Drosophila melanogaster: one gene and its partner. The protein of the gene in region 1 interacts with the protein of each later gene in a pairwise test. Each region holds a gene or a part of one and is shown in the gene's direction. Other genes may lie near its edges.

Evidence for each region.
Region 2: the proteins of Cox11 (region 1) and CG7889 interact in a two-hybrid assay, tested with the Drosophila melanogaster proteins (one large-scale study listed by BioGRID).

The regions. Positions count from the first base shown.
Region 1 is NT_033779.5:5,525,356-5,530,201, forward strand, and holds Cox11 (cytochrome c oxidase copper chaperone COX11), read left to right. Parts: upstream 1-1,601; 5' UTR 1,602-1,719; coding exon 1,720-2,445; 3' UTR 2,446-2,499; downstream 2,500-4,846. Other genes in the region: Elp4 (elongator complex protein 4), read left to right, coding at 1-368; Cap-D3 (chromosome associated protein D3), read left to right, coding at 594-1,299; CG31915 (uncharacterized protein), read left to right, coding at 2,898-3,091, 3,165-4,809.
Region 2 is NC_004354.4:19,236,256-19,253,625, forward strand, and holds CG7889 (uncharacterized protein), read left to right. Parts: upstream 1-7,375; 5' UTR 7,376-7,484; coding exon 7,485-7,556; intron 7,557-7,621; coding exon 7,622-8,402; intron 8,403-8,463; coding exon 8,464-8,570; 3' UTR 8,571-8,969; downstream 8,970-17,370. Other genes in the region: CG14196 (uncharacterized protein), read right to left, coding at 1-58, 250-1,485, 1,644-1,914, 2,054-2,212; CG7992 (uncharacterized protein), read right to left, coding at 9,017-10,140, 10,482-10,739, 10,799-10,859; Hs3st-B (heparan sulfate 3-O sulfotransferase-B), read left to right, coding at 12,886-13,068, 13,484-13,947, 14,499-15,006; rictor (rapamycin-insensitive companion of Tor), read right to left, coding at 16,467-17,370.

The DNA.
Region 1 (4,846 bases):
ACTCCGTGTGCCTGATCACGATGCCCATGCACCTGATTGCCAAGTACGATGCCAGCCTAGTGCCCAAGATCCGCCAACTGGTGGACTATGCCATCGAACTGGAGTCGTTTGCCGGTTCGGAGCGTGAAACGCACCCAGCCTTCAAGGAGTACAGTGGCCTGCTCCATTTGCACAAGATGTCGGCCATCAATACGCTGGCCGTGCACATGCCGGAAACCCCGGACTTGGCCTTCAAGTTGCGCCGCAAGAAGTTCATCATCGAAAAGTTCCATCTGCCCCCGGAGCTGCAGGAGTCATCTGCCAAGCCGGACAATTGCATCTCTGGTCTACTGAGCAATTCCAATGCCACAGCCTCGCTGGATTTCTAGCTGTCAGCGGAATTAGAAACTAAGTGCGCGTATGTAACCACGAAACAACTAAATTGCATAATAATAAGCCAAGTAAATGCATTAATATATCAGCCCTGATTTTGTACCATTTTGAAAACAAACCGCTCTTCTCGTCTTATCGTTTATCGATTGCCCTGCATTGCGCTCAGCTGTTCGGTTTGGTCATCGGTTTGTGTTTGGCAACGGGACGCCTAAAATGTAAACATGTCGGATTTCCATCGTATTTTTGGGGATTTAAGGGTGTACTACGAGCCGAATGTGCAGTGGGTGGATGTGGAGGAGTGGCTGTACGGCGAGGAGGCCGAGGGCAGTGTGCTGCAGCAGCGGGCGGAGAAGTTCTGGACTATGGCCATGTGCCTGCAGGATGGTGGCCACCAGGAGACGCAGCTGCAGTTGCTCCGGGACTTATCCGCCATCATACGAGCCATGAGAGACGAGAACCAGGCCAGCTATAGCAACACCCACGACAATTGGTCCAACTTAATTGGATTTTCTCCAGCGCTTGGCTACCTGACGTATATATACTCGCTTGTGAGCCTGGTGGTTTTGCCCGAGCATGTGCAGCAGGCTGCTCCGCAGCAGCTGAATGAGAACATCAATATGCAGCTAGCCCTCAATGCGGCTACAACCTACCTGCTCACTTTGACCATTCCTGGTGCCAAAATCTTTGGCGTCTTCGACGAGGATGTGATCGAACAGGTTCTCAAGGTCTTCCGTCTTCTGGAGATGAACAATAACAAAAGCTTACGCGCTAGCATGATCTGGATGTTCTTCCTGACGATCTGCGATGACCTGAAGATCGTCTTTCGCTACGTGCACTTCAAGGAGCACCTGAAAACGCGCGACAGGATCATTCGTTGTCTGCTGGAGGTGCTCTACATGAACTTTAAAATGGGATATCAAAATACATGTAAGTGTAACCCATTATGTTATACTTATTTAGTAACTTTAAATTTAAGAACAAACGAAGGCGAAATTTCGAGATTATTGCTAACAAGTTTTTGGCGCCAAAACTATTTGTTTGACAAGTAGTTACCTATTGCATAATCAACCGTGGTAGTGTCTTGTTCAAATAATATTTTAACAATGTTTAGCCAGTTTGTTTATAGTTTAGCTTATTTGCAAGAATTGTATTTTTTGAGAAATTCCGCTGCCGATGACAAACTTCTTTGCCTATCGATTGTCTGTGATTACTTGCGAACAGCTGATTTAGCTAGGTGTGTACACACTGCCGCACACTTAACGAACTGAAGATTATACAAACAAGTGCTAAAATAAATGAAATCCTAAGGCAAAGTTAACGTTAATTGGATCAAATAAAGATCTAACGATGATGCGCAGCCTTTGTGCCCTCCGTGGACAATGCCAGCAACTGTTCAGGAGCTCCATCCGCCCTCAAAACTCAGTCCATAAGTCACAACAATTTTGGCGCATGAAATCGACGGATTCTCCGGAGGATGCCGCCCGTAAATTGCGTGCGAAATCCACACTCTACTACATAACCGCCGGCGGTGTGCTGATTGTGGGCCTGAGCTATGCTGCTGTGCCGCTGTACAGCATCTTCTGCCAGGCCTACAGTTACGGAGGGACCACCACGCAGGGGCACGATGCCGAAAAGGTGGAGCACATGAAAAAGATCGAGGATCGGGTGCTGAAGATCCGTTTCAACGCCGACATTGGATCCTCGATGCGCTGGAACTTCAAGCCGCAGCAGTACGAGATCAAAGTAGCTCCTGGCGAGACTGCTCTGGCCTTTTACACGGCGCGAAATCCCACGGATAAGCCGGTAATTGGCATCAGCACGTACAATGTGATTCCCTTCGAGGCGGGCGCGTATTTCAACAAAATCCAATGCTTTTGCTTCGAGGAACAGCAACTGAATCCACACGAGGAGGTGGACATGCCCGTCTTCTTCTACATCGATCCCGAAATAACGGCAGATCCGGCGCTGGAGACCTGTGACACCATCACCCTTTCGTACACCTTCTTCGAGGCCAAGGAGGGTCTGAAACTGAACTTCCCCAGCTATGCAAAACCTCATGCGGCAAGTGCGTGAAGGGAAAGTGCTTAGGTCTTTGTTTTAAAACAATAAATATTTGTTATGCCAAGTAGAAAATATTCCAGTCATTCTGTATGCTAGTTCTTCTTCATTAAGCTGTATGAAATGTTCTGCCTTGAAAGTTTGTAAAGAAATGTTTTTAAACTTATTAATCAAATGAAAGGATCTTTAAGAAACTATGGAGCTAAACTATGGATTTCCGACTGAAATTCATTTAAATCCATTAAAATCGATAACAAACGATAACAGCACAGTTTGAGAGGCGCCGCAGCTGATGCAGTTTGAGCGGCACTCCATCTGGAGCTGGAAAAGAAGGAGGCAGTTTATTAATAGATAACGCCGAATCTGATTCTCCGGCGCATTTCAAACGAACCGGACGCTTCCGCTCCGCCAGATTGTGTACTGTGACCCCTTTGAACCCGGCGTTGCGTTTAATCGATGACGTGGAGATGAACAAACAAGTTATATTCGGCCTGCTCCTCGCTTGCATTTTGGTGTGCATTTCAGGACAGGATGAGGAGGATTACCAGGAGTCGCCAACGGTACTGATTGCCCTGCTGGTGCGGAACAAAGCCCACATACTGCCCATGTTCCTCAGCTACCTGGAGCAGCAGGACTATCCAAAGGAAAGAATAGCAATTTGGTTAGTAAAGTGAACTCATTTAGATATGGAATTGAAAATTGCAAATCTTACCTCTGGTTTGGAAATATCTCAGGTTGCGCTGTGATCACAGCAACGATGACAGCATAGAGCTATTGCGGCAGTGGCTGGACAACTCGGGGGATCTTTATCACAGCGTAAGCTACGAATTTAAGCCGGAGGAGCAGAGCTTTGTCAACGGGACTTCACCGTACGAGTGGCCCGCATCGCGTTTCAAGCACCTAATCGCCCTGAAAGAGGAGGCCTTTCAGTATGGTCGCGATATTTGGGCTGACTACGTGTTTTTCCTGGACGCCGATGTCTTGCTAACTTCAAAAGATTCGCTAAAAGTCCTCACCCGACTCCAATTACCAATTGTGGCTCCCATGCTGATCTCGGAGAGCTTATACTCGAATTTCTGGTGTGGCATGACGGAGGACTACTACTACAGACGCACCGATGAGTACAAGGAAATCTATCATGTGAAAAAGCAAGGCAGCTTCCCAGTGCCAATGGTCCACACAGCCGTTTTGGTGAACATGAACCATCGAGCGGTTAGGAATCTCACCTTCGATAGGAACAAGCTGGTGGAATTGCAGAAATCCCGACAGCAAGAGCCACTGTACGATGGACCAGCCGATGACATCATTGTGTTCGCCATATCGGCCAACAGTTCAGGCATTCCCTTGCACATTTGCAACGACATAACCTTTGGTTATATACTGCAGCCATTGGAACCAGGCGATACCTTGGACCACGACGTACAACAGCTGGTGAACCTCAAGAGCATTATGGTCAATGAACTCGGCGCAGTGCCGCCACTGCTGGACTACTACAAGCATTTGGAGAAGAAACCGGAGAAGAGCAAACTCTCCTTGGACCGCATATTTATGATTAATCTAAAAAGACGACCCGAGCGGCGAGAGAAAATGGAAAGGCTGTTCGACGAGATCGGAATAGAGGCGGAGCACTTCCCGGCCGTTGATGGCAAAGAACTGAGCACGGAAAGGCTGCTGGAGATGGGCGTACGATTTCTGCCCGGCTACGAGGATCCCTATCATCATCGGGCGATGACAATGGGCGAGATTGGCTGCTTTCTGAGCCACTACAACATCTGGGTGATGATGGTGCGCAAGCAACTGAAGGAGGTGCTCATTCTGGAGGACGATATACGTTTCGAGCCGTATTTCCGACAGAACGCAGTCAGAATTCTCAACCAGGCCAGGAATGCCGCACAGTACGACCTGATTTACTTTGGCCGCAAACGTTTGAAGGAGGAAAGCGAGCCGGCTGTGGAGAATGCGGATAATCTGGTGCACGCTGGCTACTCGTACTGGACACTGGGCTACGTTATATCCCTGCAGGGTGCACTGAAACTGCTGGCCGCCAAGCCGCTGGACAAGCTCATACCGGTCGATGAGTTTCTGCCGCTGATGTTCGATCGTCATCCGAACAAAACGTGGACGGAAGCCTTTCCCAAGCGTAATCTTGTTGCCTTCAGCGCCTCGCCGCTTCTGCTGTATCCCATTTACTATACTGGTGAATCTGGTTATATATCCGACACCGAGGACTCGCAACAAATCAGCGTGGAGACGAGCGAGGAGGGCGAGGCCAGGCTAAAGAGCGATCGAGAGCAGGTTTTCGACCATGAGCAGGAATTCAAGCTCAATCCGGAACTCAAGCTGGGCGAGAGCTTGTCCAAGAGCCACCAGGAACTGTAGATTTCTACCGAACAAAAACCATGCCAAATTTTTGACT
Region 2 (17,370 bases), on another chromosome or scaffold:
GACATCATATTGAGACAGTGCAGGGTAACCGAATAGTCGTAACGGTCACGCACCAGGCCTAAAAACAAGGGAAATATTAACATAACTAAATTTGCATCCATGGATAAGATATTTCATTATATTATCAAGGAGATATACGGATTCATATTCATGTAGATATATGAACAAATGATGATACTTATGACAGTATCCTTTTTTACATCCACATTGAACAACAAAGGTAATGTATCAGATTCTATAGGCACTCACCGACAAATGGACCACCGATCAGGGTGAATAGTCCCGAGATCAGCAGTTGCAGTCCCGAGGCGCCTGGCAGGCGGTTCAGAGGCACATAGCCGGGTATGATCAGTGGCCAGAAGATGGTACGCACTCCCTTGCAGAGACCGATCCACACGAAGCTGCAGAGGATCAGGCTGTAGGAACGCGTGCAGGCCACCACTGTGCGGCCGAGAGCGATGCCCACCACGCCGATGAGGAAGAATACCCGGTTGTCCCACGGAATCTTCTCAGTGAGGAAGGGGACCATGAAGCGCATGGTGATGTCCAGTCCCGCCAGCAGCGACATGGCCAGCGTAATCTGTGGAGTATCGAAGCCAAAGTCCACCAGAATGAAGGGCGTCAGTATGGAGAAGTTGAGCTCCCCAAAGTTTATGATGGTCAGTCCGGCCACCAGATTGACGAAGGTGAAGTCGCGCAGCAGGTCCAGATCGAAGAAGGTCACCACCTTGGCCAGAAAGCTCATCTGCGGATCGTGCAGTGGAGCCGACTCCATTCCCGCCTCCTCAGCCTCGGCTTCCTTCTCCTTTCGGTTATTGTTGTGCTCCTCCCGCTTGGCCGAACACTGGCAACACAGCTTGGCCTCCAGGTTGGACTCCACCCGCTCCCTGCGAAAGTTATTGGGGCGCAGGAACTCATCGCTCTCGTGGTTCTGCTCCTCGCTAATGGGACAATGCAGTCGCTGCGTCTGCTCCAGATCCTTGGAGCTCGAGATGGTGCGAAAGCGAAGGCGGCCCGAGGTCAGCGATAGCCGGGATCCATACCAGCCATCGTTGGCGCGCGAGAGCATCGGTGTGCCGGGCTCACAGATCTCGTAGCCCGGTCGCTGGGCATCGTCGTCCTGGCATAGATACTGACTGGAGAATATGCCGCCCGGCTCGCGTTTCTGCTGCCACGAGCAGTGGGCACACAACGCCTCCGCCTGCTGCTCCTGATCCGCCAGCTGCTCCACCGGTGGCTTCACATGGTACCGAACCGGCTGATAGATCAGGGCGCAAACGAACGAGTGCAGCGAGATGGCGGCGAAGAGTAGCGTGGTCCCCTGCACCCCGTAAATGGTCAGCAAAAAGGTGACCAGATGCGGCAGAAAGATCGGTCCCAGACCCGTTATGGTCCACGAAAACCCGGCCGCCCGACGACGCTTCTTCTGGAAGTACGTGTTGATCGCCAGCGAGGAGGCCGACACACTAATGCCCATGCCAAAGCCTGTGGATTGTTCAAAAGTTAGTAGACAAGCTAACACAATTGCTTTCAAAACAAAAATATCCAATAAAGTATAATTTAACTTTGCAATTCATTAATTATAATGTCAAAGGATAGTTTTGAACGACATCTTGAGTGCATCGAGATGCCTTTGTACTCACCAAACAACAGGGCGTAGGCCACCATGTAGCTGAGAAAGGTTTCACAGAAGGCGGTTAGTATGAGACTCCCGGAGATTAGCAGAGAACCGGCCATGGCCACCTGGCGAAAGGTGAACCTCCGGAACATCGGTCCATTGAGCAGACCCGTGCAGGCCGATACGGCCGGATTTGCGTTAATGATGGCTGTAATCTGGGAACTGGACATGCCCAGATCGGACAGGCGCTCCCTGAATAGAAAGCCAAACTGTTGCAGGCAGGGGTAAATGGAGAGCTGTAAAGCAAATCTATTAGAGTTCTTCCGAGTGATAGGACTTCAATAGGAAACAGTAACTATATGCTTATGTTCACCTAACATTCACTTAAAATATATTTGACATGGAAATGGATGAAATTGGCTTAGTTTTACCTACATTTGAAACGCCAGCGGCGACGCAAACGATCCACGCCCATCCCGCGTCGGGCGCCACAAAGTCGTCGCCCAGATCGCTCTTGTCGTGCTTGTTATAGTACCGTGCACGGGAGACCCTGGGCAGCGGTCGCGTTGTGTCCTGATAGACCTTCTTCTCCATGGCCAACTGTAAGCGAATCAGTGAGAAATATTGTATTAAAAGGCATGTCCGTAACCCTGAAAACAAATGCAAATAGGGAAGTGATATGGGAAAAATTCCATTGAAGGCAGCTGGCCGAGTTCGTAAATGATTTACGGCAATTACTTGGCGCAATACGTTAACGATCACTTGTCACAATTAACCGCATACGGGTTATAAAGATGCCATCCCAGTCGCCGCCAGCAGGCAGATCGGTGGCACAGTGTTGTTGCCATCTGATCAGAACCCGGGTTCACGATTGGGTACCAAGAAACGAGAATACCAAATCTGACATTCGAAATCTCCGGTTTTCCAATGCCTTCTCACCCTCTACCTCTCCACCAGCAGCAGCTTTCCTTATCAGCGGCGTCATGTGACAGATTTCCACCCAGAGACGCAGACCAAAACCAAAGTTAGCGCGCAAATTGTGAATCATATTTATGTCCTCTACGCACACAGAAAGATGCTAAATGTGGTTGATGGTCTAATGAGGAATGTCATATCTATGAAATATGCATCTTCTGGCAGTCAAAAACTACGATTAAAAGATACAATTTGTGTCAGATAGAACCAAGTGTAACAATGGCTCATTTTGCATCATCAAAACCTATTTGAATATTAAACATTTCTTTAGAGTATTTTTTTGTGTGTGATGATTGAGCGTAGCGATTCCCCTGCCCAAGGTCAATGGTGTCTGGTCCGTAAGATGTCCACTTATCAGTAGTTCGATTCTGTATTCCGTAGTGCTCCAGATTCGATCTACGTTTGGGCAAAATTTGAATTCCAGCCAATTTCAGATTCTAGATGGTTTCGAGTGTCTGCGGATTCGGTGCAAGCCACAAGACTGATGGCGAAATGGGAAATGGAATTCAATGGAATGAATCCGAAGCTGAAGTAATGACACAACTTAAATGGTAGACGATGGTATTATTCAATGAAGTTAACTACAATAGTTCCTCACTAAAGCAATTGCAAATAGAATGCTTACTTCTCACCCTATAATTGAGTAATGATTTAGTTTTACGAGGTGCGAGAAAATGTGATAACAAGCCCCCACTGATAGCGACTGAGGTCAAATCAACCAGTTCGATTAGTATAGCTCTTCAAAACTAACCACAAATGGCTTGCAGACAACCGGTGGAAGATTTGATTTGCGAGCAAGTGTGATAAAAGCCCACTGATAGTGACTTAGTTCAATACAACCAGTTCGATTAATAGAGCTTTCCAAAACTAACGAAATGGATGGAAGATTCGATTGGCAGGTATCCAAAATATAAACTATTCCACTGAGAACTGACTTGCGTGAATCGCTTCAATTAAAACAATTAGCATTCAAGCTATTGAGAAAACAATCAAGAATGCCACACTACATACATAGTACGTAATACTAGTGCATATTTGAGAGGCTGAACCCACACGTTTTTATAATATACATATAGTAGTATAAATCTATACAGTTTTTAGACTTTCGATAATTATAGCACAGCTGCCCTAAAATGTTTGCACTTACGTTTTAATGTAAGCTTGTGGTTGTTTAAAAGTTACAGAAATATTAAATTTGCACGTCGCTCGTAACTTATTTGACAATTTCTCATAACTAAGTCACGAATACACATAGCGTATTTCGTATTGAAACAACATGTTTCCCATTTTCTCGTTGTTTCACTAAACCTTAATTTGATTTCCAAACTGTATGTAATAGTTTTTTGCTTTTTGTCGGAAGCTTTCTAAGCAACTGAACTTTCGTAACATTATGAAATAGTATAGATTTTTGTCTATACTTTTTACCCAACAATGTTTTGGGTAAACATCCATGCTATTGCCAATAAGACCGAAGCCGCTAAACACTTAATTGACTGAAGTTGATGGAAAACAATGGGCCCAGGCCTAGATACACAGATACAGATACAGATCGAGATAAGCAAAGCCCAGTGACTATGGATCCATCGATAAGGTGATAAGATTGCGATGGGCAGCGTGGTTACATGTGGCTCTGGAGTGGAAGCCACATATTTGGCTACCAGCTGTGCCCCCAGATAGCCAATGATTCGATTCGATGGGTTGTTGACACTTTCCCGCCTTCGACTAGTTTTGGCATGCACTGAGAACGAAATCGTGGAGTTCTGAACTTAAATCAAATTAAAAGATGCATTTAAATCGATTGAATATCACTGCACTTAGATCTTTGCATTTCAAATGCAATTCAGAAAAACATTGGAATTTGTATTCAGAAATTCAGTACATTATAAGTGTATCTTATGCTTGCAAATATGAGTAACTTACACCTCAGATACACATCCATACATACATATGTATGTCTAATGTACTTAATGTTTTTCACAATGCAAATAGCATTTTTTAGATTTTTTATTTAATAATCAGGGTCTATACATGTATGTATCAAAAGCTGATAATGTAGCTTTACTTTTTATTCAAAGAATTTATTTAATTTGGTAGAAATTTGTTAAAATTCACTGGGTAAACGAAAAGTTATAGAGAAATGAGAAAGTTATCTATACGACGAGTATCTTTCAAGTCGCTGTGTTCTCATTAAGACATAAATTAAGAGTTTAGTTTGCGGTTTTTTAACTAACTTACAGAATGTTTTTGGCCACTTTCCGCCCTTATGTCACTCAACTCAAACGAGGGCTATAATAATCTGAAAACCAATCAGGTGTTTTGAACATCTGCTGATAGCAGGGCAAAAACAAAAACGATTCCAAAAGACGTCGGATGAACTCGTGCGAGGTGTGTGATGTGAACGTGTCGCACCCATCATATCCCATCGCGATTCCAATTCCCGATGCGATTCCGCCCACTTACTTACCTGTGCTCCGTACGTAGTATTCTAGTATTTGGTATTCCCAGTGGGATCCGCGTATAGTATCTCCTTGGCAAGTTCGCCAATTGGCAGCACAGTGCTTCCTGCGCCAGTGGTTTATGGCTTTTATTTTGGGTGCTGGTGCTGCTGCTGCGGCTGCTGCTAATGCTATTTATTTTTATACACCACGAGATGCACTCACTAGCGGACCAAACGACCAACCGAGTGACTGAATGACTGAAAGACCGACTGAATGGCCTGCATCTAATTGAGAGGCGCTATGTGGACTACGACTGAAGTTCAAGGTTGTAGCATTGATGGTTACCACAGGGAAGGCTCAAGGTTTGCCACTCCTTGCCTTAAATCACTGCGAATGCTCTATAGAGCTATATTCCCAAAATGCCACAAATTCCACGATGCCCGCGATATGATCCCGAAACCAAATCCGAAACCGAATCGAAAACCCAGCTAAAATCTCATTTGACGAGGGCTCGACGTAATCGCGGTACTTCCATCGCCGCCAGCTGCGAAAATCAACTAAACCGAATCTGAACAGAACCCAATTGCTATGGGCATGAGCCGAGAAAGCGCCGATGGGAAGATCGGATCGACTAACGCCAATCGATCGGCGCTACGTCCACGTAATAGCAGCGCCCACTGCTGTTGGCTAACAGGGCTGTTCGGGTTTCGACCATCCATTGACCTATGTATGTCTATCTGTCCATCCATCTACTCGTAGTAGTTCCTTCTTGGACGCGCCATCTAAAAACTACTGGCGGCTCCAACCTATCCATCACAAATTTCGGTTAACATGTGGTCTATACACACATAATATACACACGTAAATGCTACGGATTTGTTTCCGGTGTGGAGAACCCAAATGCCCAAAAGTGTGCAGCGATTTTGTAAGCCTTATCCATATACACAATCCCATTTGATTTATTGACCAAAATTATGAAATTATTATGAAATTATGACTTGGATTACTTTAATTTGCTTATTTGAATTTTATCTACCCAGCTTATAGTATAGAATAACTCATGATTGATGGTCCACTTGAGACGAAAGAGTATTCTATGCGAATTTTTTTTTTATGTAATATAAGCATTGCTTAACTATGTGTATTATATCTTGTCTCATAAGAAGTTCTTGTTACTTAAACATAATATATACTGTTTATTTAAATTTGATTTTCTATTAACATGATATAGTTAAGTTTTAAGTAAGTGCAGGTATATTACATAAATCTACAACTAAGCTTTTCTCGATTTTAATAAAAACTTTAATATAGCGTATCATAAAAATCACCTGTTAACGACATAAAAACTATTGATATACATTTTCATTCAACTAAAAAACTGCCATATCTAAGATATAAGTCACGCTTTGTAAAAATATTCGAGGTGGACAAAATTCATTTGAAAGGAAGTCTCTAGAGCCAAGTGCTTAGACGTTATGGGCGTAGAAACTGTAGCTATTTATAGAAGTTTTTCCGCTAAGCTAACGTGTTTTTCCAAAATTTGGTCATATTTAGTTGTTTAACAGAAAATATAATATTTTAGGTTTTCCAAATAACGTTTTGTTGCGGGAGAAAACCAAATCGACATAAACTCTCATTTTGAAAAATGGCCAATTACTTGTTTTGAAAATATATTTCAAACGGAGGTTTAACAAGACTTCGGTTTTTTTGTCAGTAGCAATTAAAACGCAACTGATGGGTCTCAGTTCCAATTTGTTGTACTTTTATCGGAACCATAAAATTTTGTACCTTTTGATGTATCACTCGTTATCTGCCAACTACAGCAGATTTTCGTTCCTTGTGTGTATACATACTTATATCTACATAGCACACTCTCCTGGTGCGCTTCGGCACTACGTGGACTGCCGTTCACAGTGATGTATTTAATAATAAAAAATATTTGTATGCCCGTTACTCGTAGAGTAAAAGAGTATACTATTCGTTGGTAATAGCTAGATGGTAGCGTTTCCAACCATAAAAATTACATATATTCTTGATCAGGACCAATAGCCGAATCGTTCTTTCGTGTGATAATTCTTTGTTTTATTTTTTTTTCCCAAAGTCTATAATATGCCATCAAAATAATTGAATTCCGCTAATGCATTTCCACTTGCTGAGTATCTGATAGTCGGGGAAGACGACTATAACATTCTAGATTGTTTTGTTATTAGGCAAAGATATTTATTATAGAGTATTTGTTTTGCCGTATCAATATTACTCGTAATATACTCTATATTGTTAGGTACTCGCCAAAGTTGGGAATACCCCATTTGTTTTTCCGTCAGAGAGTGTTTTTGGTAATTGGTCACACTGCTCTCCAAGTGCCGGGTACAATTCACGTTGTCACTTTCGTTCGTCTGGGAGTGGGTTTTCATATCGAGTAGCCGAGGAACTCGGAACTTGGAGCACGGAAAATGTCCAGAAAGTACGGCAAGCTGCAGCAGCAGTTCCTCTGTTGCTATCCGGTGAACAAGATGGCCTGGTCGGTGAGTAATCCATGTGATACATTATGACCCGGCCACCTGTTGAATCGATTTGGTGTCCATTGCAGTCGGTCACGCTGCCCCTCAGCTGGGAGGATCAGCAGGAGCTGTTAGCGGCCACCTGTGGCCACCCGATGAACCAGTGCTATCCTGTGCGTCGCAGCTACCTGGAGGCCTTCCTCAAGCACCTGCTACTCCTGCTCGGAGATCAGGAAGATCTGCACGACGATATATACAGCAGCTTGTGCGGTCCGGTGGCGGAGAACGAAGCGAGCACAGGGTCATCCACGTACGCCTACAAACATTATCTCCTCGAACCGGGCGCCCACATCACGCTCCGTGAGTCCACCAGCTTCGTGGCCGAGGGCACAACGGGATTGTGCACCTGGGAAGCGGCTCTGGCCCTCGGCGATTACCTCCTGCAGCACCGCGACCTGGTGCGTGGCAAGAACATAGTGGAGTTGGGAGCCGGTGCCGGGCTGCTGGGAATCATGCTGAAACTACCGGCCCTGCAGCTGCAAGTGGGCCAGGTCCTGCTGACCGATGGCAGTGAACCCTGCGTCCAGCTAATGCGCGAGAATATCAGCCTGAATTTTCCAGACACGCCCAAGGAGCAGATGCCCCAGGCGGAGCAGCTAAACTGGGCTGCGGTCAGTGAGTTCCCCTGGGATTCGCATGCTAAAACGGATCTTTTGATAGCCGCCGATGTGATCTACGATGATTCCCAGTTCGATGCACTGCTGGGTGCCATGGACTATTTGTACTCCCGACGCGGAGGTGGACTGGAAACCCTGCTGGCCAGCACGGTGCGGAATGTGGACACGCTGCACAAGTTCATGACCCAGCTGGGTGAGTCATGTCATATCTCCAGATGGGGAACGCCCGCATAACTAAGCATATTATCCTCCAGGTGACAGTGGCTACAAGGTGACTCCATGTGCGAACGTATCGGCCTGTGCCAGCCACTTTTGTCGCGATCACACCGCCGCCGTCCAGATTATCTCCATAAGACGCTAGTTTTAGTCCTAAAATAAACCTACACCACGTAAACAAACACCCACTATCTGGAACCCACTTAAGGCCTTGATTGTATCTCTATTGGGATTGTTTGGAAAATTGGAAAAGAATTTACAGCTCTTTAATGATGATAAAGATACAACTGCAAAACCTTTTAGGCGGATCATATGAAAATGTGTATATCAGAAGTTTTGTATCTAATTTCCAAAGAATTTGACTTAAGCAGTTATAGTTCTATATTTAATATTCTTAAGTCGTTTATATGCCTTGATATATAGACGAAATTTATAGCTTCTTCAACTCAGGCTCCTATTTCTGTTGTCACCAATTGTATGTGGATAAAGACTGAGAAGTCTTTTTATTTTCGATTCATTAAATACTGAGTATTTGTGATAAGATAAGAAAGTGTGTGTGTACAGCTCGGGGACCTAAGCTCAAATTCGGGCTCACTGGTTGATGGTGGGAATGGTGCCGTCGTTCAGCCAACGGACGTTGAGCTGCTCGATCTGGTGCTTCATAAAGATGATGCCGTACACCTCGTACTGGATCTCCAGCAGCTGGGCGCGATGCGTCCGGGGCACCTTCATGCCCACCACGAGTGCCAGCAGCGAGGTGATGATGAGAAAGACGAATCCCTGGGCCATCAGAGTGCTCGAGTCGGTGGCATAGAAGTAGGAGTTCTTCGCATCCGCCACAAAGTAGAAGTACACGATGCTGGTGCAGATCAACTTGAGCACATACGAGATGCATATGATGCATTCGGTGAAGCGCAGATGGGTGACCTCCAGCAGGAGAATCTGCTGCTGCGAGTACGACAGGCCAAAGAGCACAAGGAGCAGCCAGAGCGACCACCTGGAGTCCGTAACGCTGCAGAGGATCATGGCCAGCAGAGTGAAGGAGATGAGGGCCACCTGCGAGCCCACAAAGGTGACCTTCACCGACAGGAACCACTGGCAGATGAGGGCCAGCAGGCTGCCCGCAAAGATCACCCAGAACATGCCGTCGATGCCGGAGAACTCTGTCAGCCGGATGGCCGGATTAAGGGCAAACCAGTAGACAAAGTACACGAACAGGGCGAACTGCACGGCCTCCGTGAAGAGGAGCAGTAGCATTATGTTCCACTGCTGGTTCTTGGTCACGTAGAAGAACTGCAGTCGCTTGATGACCTCCGATCGCTGCTCGAAGATGCTGCCATTCGAGTTGGCGATCCGCAGGTCGTTGTCCATGCTGTTCACCAGGTCGACGGTGCCCAGAAAGTGGAGCACCTTCTGGCCCACCAGAATGGCCAACACGGCGGCCGCCACACTCAAGTAGGTGCCGGCGAAGTTTACATAGATGCCATCGATCAGTTGCTCCGTGGTCACCGTCTGTCCGGCCAGCTCCTTTACATTCCGGCTGTAGGAGGCCACGATCAGGCTGACGGCGGACGCCACGCCCAGCAGGTAGCAGCTGCAGCTGCCCGAGAGGAACAGCGACCTGCTGCCCTTGGAGCTGATCGTGAGCAGGAAGCTATAGCCGGCCACGAAGGTCATGCTGTGCGCCAAGTACGATATATAGGCTCCGACGTGGTCTGAAGTGATAATAATAGTGGGATTAAGGAATTGGAAAAACTCGCTGAAATCATACATTCAAAACATTTCTTAACGATATTGATTTAAGAATATAGATTTCAAAATCTAGCCAAGATTGAATCATGCTCAACATACTCAGATCGAGATCGAATCATTTTCAGATTGCAAATCACTTTGCCTCTCTCTCTCTCTCTATTGGGAAATAAATTCAAGTATTGTTAACTGAAATCTATTTCAAAACTTATATGTAGAACATCCCAGTTCCAGCCATATAGATACAGATTGATTTACTTTTCACAAGCCTTTCGAAGCGAATTAATAGCCCATAGAAATGACTCACCAAATCCATCGGCAAAGTAGAAGCAGCTGCCTATGAGATTAAAGACTCCGGCTGCCAGGAGCAGCCATGGCTGCCAGTAGACGATGCACTTCTTCACGAACTTGACCGTCAGCATGGCCAGGGCAGTGATCAACGCCCAGCAGGCGCCCAGAATCAATGGTCCATAGTGAATGAGTCCAGCGTTGAGGTTCCGCTCCGCAACAAAGGCGCAGATCGTATAGCCAAAGATCATGCCGCAGGGCAGGAAGCACAGGCAGACTGGAAGTGAATGAGACGTAATCTCTGGACAAGGATCTCCATTGGCGTGGCTAACTCACCCACATAGCTGGGCGCATATTTAAAGAACTTCAGCACCAGTTTGCCCCACACATTCGACATTTTTGCGATAGATTTGCGTTAGTTAGTCCAGCAGCAGGGAGAGGAAGGTTCGTCTATCGAAGGAGCTTAGAGCATTTTAGCGAGCAGCTGGAATGGAGATGCCTACGATGCGACGCCGGACAAATGGCAAATGGGCCGGTGGAAGTCCGGCGGAGAATTCGACTGCGACGAAGGCGGCGCAGATAAGGCGATAAGATAAGCCAACCCGACCCGACCAGGTGCATGTGTGTGGTGGCCATGGATACACGGGCGGAAAAGTTGAGGGTTTGGGATTATCTAGCCATTTCTCCGCTCGGGTTCATGAATTATGATAGTCAAAAGGAAATCCGATTATGTTGCGCATCTTGTGGAGAAATTCGTTGGTTATAGATCAATGTTTTTTTTTGTACCTGAATGTATCTTTTTTTGAGCAAGTATCTATCTATGGCATTACTCGAAGTACTATATTTCCCATTTTATGTAAATATTTTTACCCCAATTTATATGATCGAATTTCCTGGCGCTTTTTTCGCCAGTGTATCCCAAAGTGAGTGACTAATGCCGCAGTGGAATAAGCCACTTGGACAGATAAACAGATGTCCGCCGGTTGATAAGCTCCTTGGCAGTTGGCCCAACTGAGGGCCCCTACTATTTACCACGCTGCCACGGAAACGTACAATTTTTTGGCCTTTCATATGCATAAGAAAACAATGTGGCAAAGGCCATTGGGCCATTCCAACGATAGGGCTTAAAACTAATCTCAAATGGCTAATGGTGATAGGAGTACGGGCAATAGAACGTCCGGCGATAATGCTTGGTAAATTGATTTCAATCCAATATTAAATGCCAGCAAGTACTTTATCAGACGCAAATGGGGTGGTTGGGTTGTGGGTGGGTGGTTGGTTGCCAAAGTGGGTGGGGGTAAGTTCTTGGTTAGTTTGTTTACCTTTGAGCGGAAAATTGATTGAAGCCGAGAGCAAAAAAGAGAGAGAGAGAGAGTTGCGACAGGAAGTAAGAAAATAAAAGGCCGTATACGAAAAGATTATGGTCGAATAAATATTAAGATGGCATTCCCAGCCTACATAACAAACTATATACATATATACATTTTTAGAAATAATAAAAAATATTAGAAATACTACTTAACGATTGCGTTTTTGGAGTACATTTTATCATGTATTCGTTGTGAAGTTAGAAATTAACAAATCAATAATGTCTATTATTATTGCTTAATATAAATATAACTTTATCAGACTTGGAAATTAATTACTAACTTAAGTGAAATACTTATTTATTAAGATTTGATTTGTGTAGAAAGCAAAGATTTCGTCAAACCCTCACAAAGCGGAAATTCTTCAGATTTTAGTATCTTTTGATTTAACTATATATGTCTGCTTTCTTTCTTAAAGACATGATGTGATAGCAAGCTGTCACTACATTAATTATCTGCTACATTCAAGACTTGGCACTTCTTTCGGGCAGTGTACATTTGCGACGTCACACCAACGGCGATTCGACGAGCTGGCGAGAGAGCAAGCAAAACGCTCAGTTGCATAAGCGTCCCGAGACGAGAGAGGATGTGTCCAATGCGCCTGTGCGCTTCCCAGGCGCAACCATGACACGGCCGCTTCCCCCACCCATCCTGTCATCCTGCACAAACGGAGCCGAACCGGCGGCCCAGGCAGCGCTTATCCGCTGGCAGGGCACCCCAATGTCTTGGCCCTGCCTTATCCCTGGCTTTCACTTCCGCAACTCGGCTGCGACGACAGCTCCGGCACTTGCAGGCCGAACTCGTAGCGCCAGCACCACCCCAACCACACCAACCACCCACCAGCCACCTAACAGCAGCAGCAACCACCAGCAACTACCAGCAGCTCCAGCGTTGCGAACAGCCCCATTCCTTCAGTTGACTTCGCGTTGGCGGTAGCCGCCAGCCGCTGCTGCGATTGCAAATCACAATCGGAATCCGGATGCTGCAGGCAGTGCTCCGGGGCGACTGAGTGGCAATGGAATTTGACGGAGCGCTCGGAACCGATTATACCGCCAGATGCGAGACACGGCAGCCACTAGCGCCCAGCCAGCCATGATTGTGATGAGCATCTGGTGCAGCAGCCTCAGCCTGAGCAGCCGCAGCCTGGCCATCGCCCTGGTGATCTGCGTGACTCTGGTCTACTTCTCCTACAGCTTCAATGCCTGCCTCCTGGCCAGCATCAGTCGCAGTCTGCAGCAGGTGAATATGTCCACGAATCACTGGACAATGTCTAAGTGTAGGGGCTAAATGTATCCAATATCCAATGCATTTATTCATGAAAACAAACTGATAATTGGAAAATCGAATATAAAGTTTCGCTACACACATGTGTAAAGTGGAGCCAACTCAAAATTAGGGGGGGGGGGGGGGTTGTAATAATCCCCAGCGGTTTCAAAACATTTAACAAGCTGTCCAAAAGTGTGCTGTGAAAAGTTTAAGTTTTGTCTTTCGCTGAACTTTGCGATGCTATCTACATACATATATACGATTATATATATGTACATTTATAGTTGCATACTTTTCGGCATACTTACAAGTTGGGCATTTTCATAAGCCAATATGTTGATATGTTTCGCACGATGTGTGGCATTGACCTCTGACCTCTCCCGCGCAGAGCAACTTACGCAATCTACTGGCGCTGACCTCCTCGCCCCGCAACGAGACCAATAACGCCGCCAACAGCAGCAGCAGCAACAGCAGCAGCAGCAGGAACAGCTCATCCACCACCGGTGCTCCGCCGGCACAGACGGTTACTAGCAGCCTGGATGGGGCGCCCAAGTATCAGCTGCTCCGTCAGCAGGGGCTCCGACCATCGCGCCACCTGCCCGACACGCTCATCATTGGCGTGAAGAAGAGCGGGACGCGGGCGCTGCTCGAGTTCATCCGCCTGCATCCGGACGTGCGGGCCGCCGGTTCGGAGGTGCACTTCTTCGACAGGCACTACCAGCGGGGACTACGCTGGTACCGCCACCACATGCCGTACACTATCGAGGGCCAGATCACCATGGAGAAGACGCCCAGCTACTTCGTCACCAAGGAGGTGCCGCAGCGCGTCTACCACATGAATCCGGCAACAAAGTGAGCTTTTCTACATCAAACCTATTGTGATCATAATCGTAAATTGTTACTCCATCAGATTTGATAGAACTTAAAAACGGTCAATTCTTAAAAATGATATTTTTAGAATACTGCACTTTATCCACAAGACTGTATTTAGTCATAGCATACTTTTTAGCACCTATAATAGAAGTGTTGAAAATTGAAGAGAGATACTTTTTAAGGCCGATTTGATATCCCTTAAATATTGAAACCGTACGTAAATCGTAGCATACTATATAATAAAAGTGTTTCAAACGCTTAGCTGAGATTTTTAAGGCGGATATCCCTTAAATATTGAGTCCTTTTAAATATGTGCTTTATACACAAGACTTTAGAACTTGTTTTAGGTTTTATCATACTTTTAAGCACCTTAAGTGAAATGGTTTTCGGAATACAACATTCGATTTGATCAACATAGAAGGGATTAACATTATATTCTAAATGCATTATGCGTTTTACATTAACCCTACGTATCTGGACCATCAATCACTAGCATATCTTCACTTAACCTCAATTTTATACGCCCGTAGATTACTGATTGTGGTGCGGGATCCGGTGACGCGGGCCATCTCCGACTACACACAGGCGGCGAGCAAGAAGGCGGACATGAAGCTCTTCGAGCAGCTGGCCTTCGTCAACGGTAGCTACTCGGTGGTGGACACCAACTGGGGCCCGGTGAAGATCGGCGTCTATGCACGCTATCTGGAGCGCTGGCTGCTCTACTTTCCGCTCTCGCAGCTGCTCTTCATCAGCGGCGAGCGGCTGATCATGGATCCCGCCTACGAGATTGGACGCGTACAGGACTTCCTCGGTCTGAAGCGCGTGGTCACCGAGAAGCACTTCTACTTCAATGCCACCAAGGGCTTCCCCTGCCTCTTCAAGTCGGAGGCACGCTCCACGCCCCACTGTCTGGGTAAGACCAAGGGGCGCAACCATCCGCACATAGATCCCGGGGCCATCGAGCGCCTCCGGGAGTTCTACCGGCCCTTCAACAACAAGTTCTACCAGCTGACGGGCATCAACTTCGCCTGGCCATAGGATCCACGGCTGGGTGAGTAGACGGAACTGGGATACGTGCAAGGCTAGTACCGAAATGGATTGGATTGGCCAGAGGCTAGGCACCTTCACTGATCTGCTCAATTTACATATCACATCCATCCCCATTGGAGTATGCTTGACTATCCCTAAGCCCTAATCCCTAATATCTGGTATCAATTTCCGTTTCAGCGGGCGTGAAATGAATGGAGTTTGAGAATAGGAGATATTGTTGTTGCTGGCCACGGCAACGGACTGATATTGTTGATTGCATTTTTGATACATATAATTGTACTTATATATAGTATATACACACACACATAAAGTTAGTGCTCAATTAATTGTAGCTTTATCAGGAGACAAATTCAACGAAGTGCGCAACCTGAAAAGTCCGCACTCAAACAATACGGTTCCTCACTCCAATTCAATTCAAATGAAATGAAATGAAATGAAACTCACTTTTCCCACTATACTCGAATGTCAGGCAGTTGGACGTGGAGGAGCCACGTTCGATCCGAGATGGACATGGTTCCCCCGTCCGCTGGGCACACACATTGCTATGTACTACCACTACCTAAGATCATTATACCTAAGATCATTATGTGCATTTATATACAAGAATAGTGAAAAAATAGAGCTTACTACGAAATTCCTACAGTCTCCTAAACTAAACATATACAAAATATTGTATGCATAGTTCCAACAATTTCAATTGCATGACTCAACCAATACGATTGCTTAGCCAATTTCAATTAAAAAACAAACTAAATAAATCGACCTTAAATCTAGTCAGCCCCTAAGAAGATTGTTATCTTTCCATACGATTTTAAGTAAATAGCACTTGCTGGGTTTAACTTTTTCAATTTTTATAGTTTATTGATTTCATTTCATTTTGGTTTTAAAGTGATTGTGAACGATTCACGGTATGCTTCTTGCTTTGTTTTCAACAATAATGATAATTTCTTGGTTTAAGGTTTGTGTGGTCTTTTTGCTTTCGCCTGCCACTGGGTCTCTTTTAGTTTTAAGTACATTAATTAAATAAATTGCGGTGGTTTGTGGTTGTTTCTTGTTGCTTCAAGGCAATTATCCAATTTGCTTTCGATCTGCTTCTATAAAATATGTTGGTACACGCTACATAAGAAAATTATATATTATTTTTTGGGATTTTTGTCGTTTGTTGGTTTCCTGCTTACGGTTATGAATTTCTTTAAAAATAACTATGCATAAGTGGTGATCGTAAAAGTAACTATGGTAATAACTTTAATTTTAACAAACTAGTCGAAAATAACTTAAATCCTATAGTACGGATTGCCTTAATCTACGTAGCTACATGTTCTTTGATTTGATATATTACATTTATCCGATTGGTTTCGGTTTAGGAAGGCGGGCGGCCAGTAAACGAGATGTAAGAGTAGGCAGTGCGTCCCCATTGGGCTACTTCAATTGATCTTCCGCCAGTGCGTCTAGGAGTTGTCACGCACAGTTGTCAGTCCCACACCACCGGATGCTCTTCTCGCCTTCGCCACCTCATCGAGGACCGCTTCCGATTTGGAGCTCTGCAAGCGCTTCTCGCAGTACAGGCTGCCCACCGGCCTGGCCATCGATGCCGACAAGCTCTTGGTCACAGTGGAATATCTTAGGGCTGACGAGGAGTCATTGCTGCCACCGGTCCGCTGCATAATTGGCAGCGCACTTGTATTCACATCTGTCTGAACCGTGGGCTTGGACTCGATTAAACTTTCGATTGGTGGAGGCGTTGGTGTTCGCTGGCTGCGATTCTTGATGGGAAACTTGTTCTTGGTGCAGCTCAAATCGAGCTCCAGCGTATAGAATCGTCCGCGTGTGAATTGCCGGTTTTCATTCTTTAGACTTGTACTAGCATTATCAGATGCGCTTGTCCCAGCACCAGCGGAGTTTGAAGTTGCCGCACCTGGCACCAGCTGGCTTGCTGTGCATGTGCCAATGCTGCTACGATTGCTGTTTCCTGTGGGCAGGGCTGTATGAGCGGTGGTCACCGAGCTGGCCTGGGTGCCGGCTCCACTGCCGTCGCAAACATCCTCACCGGAATCATTTTCGCCATCGGTACTGGACAACGAACTCTCCGTATCGTCAATGTGCAGCTGGTTCCGGGCCTTTGCTTTCGTTTGAGCATTGGCCGGTTGATCGGCAGGCGATGACTTGTTTATCCGTGGCGACTGGTCCATCAGCAGGTTCTCCCAACTAGTCTCATAAACGCTAGCCAGTTGGGCCGCCGGTTTAGGCTTGAGAATCGTTTGCTTAAACGGCATGGCCTGCATTGCCGTGGGGGCCGTGGCCTCTGCTTTTTCCTCAGCGGAAAACTTACGTGCCCCGATTATGAGCTGAGGC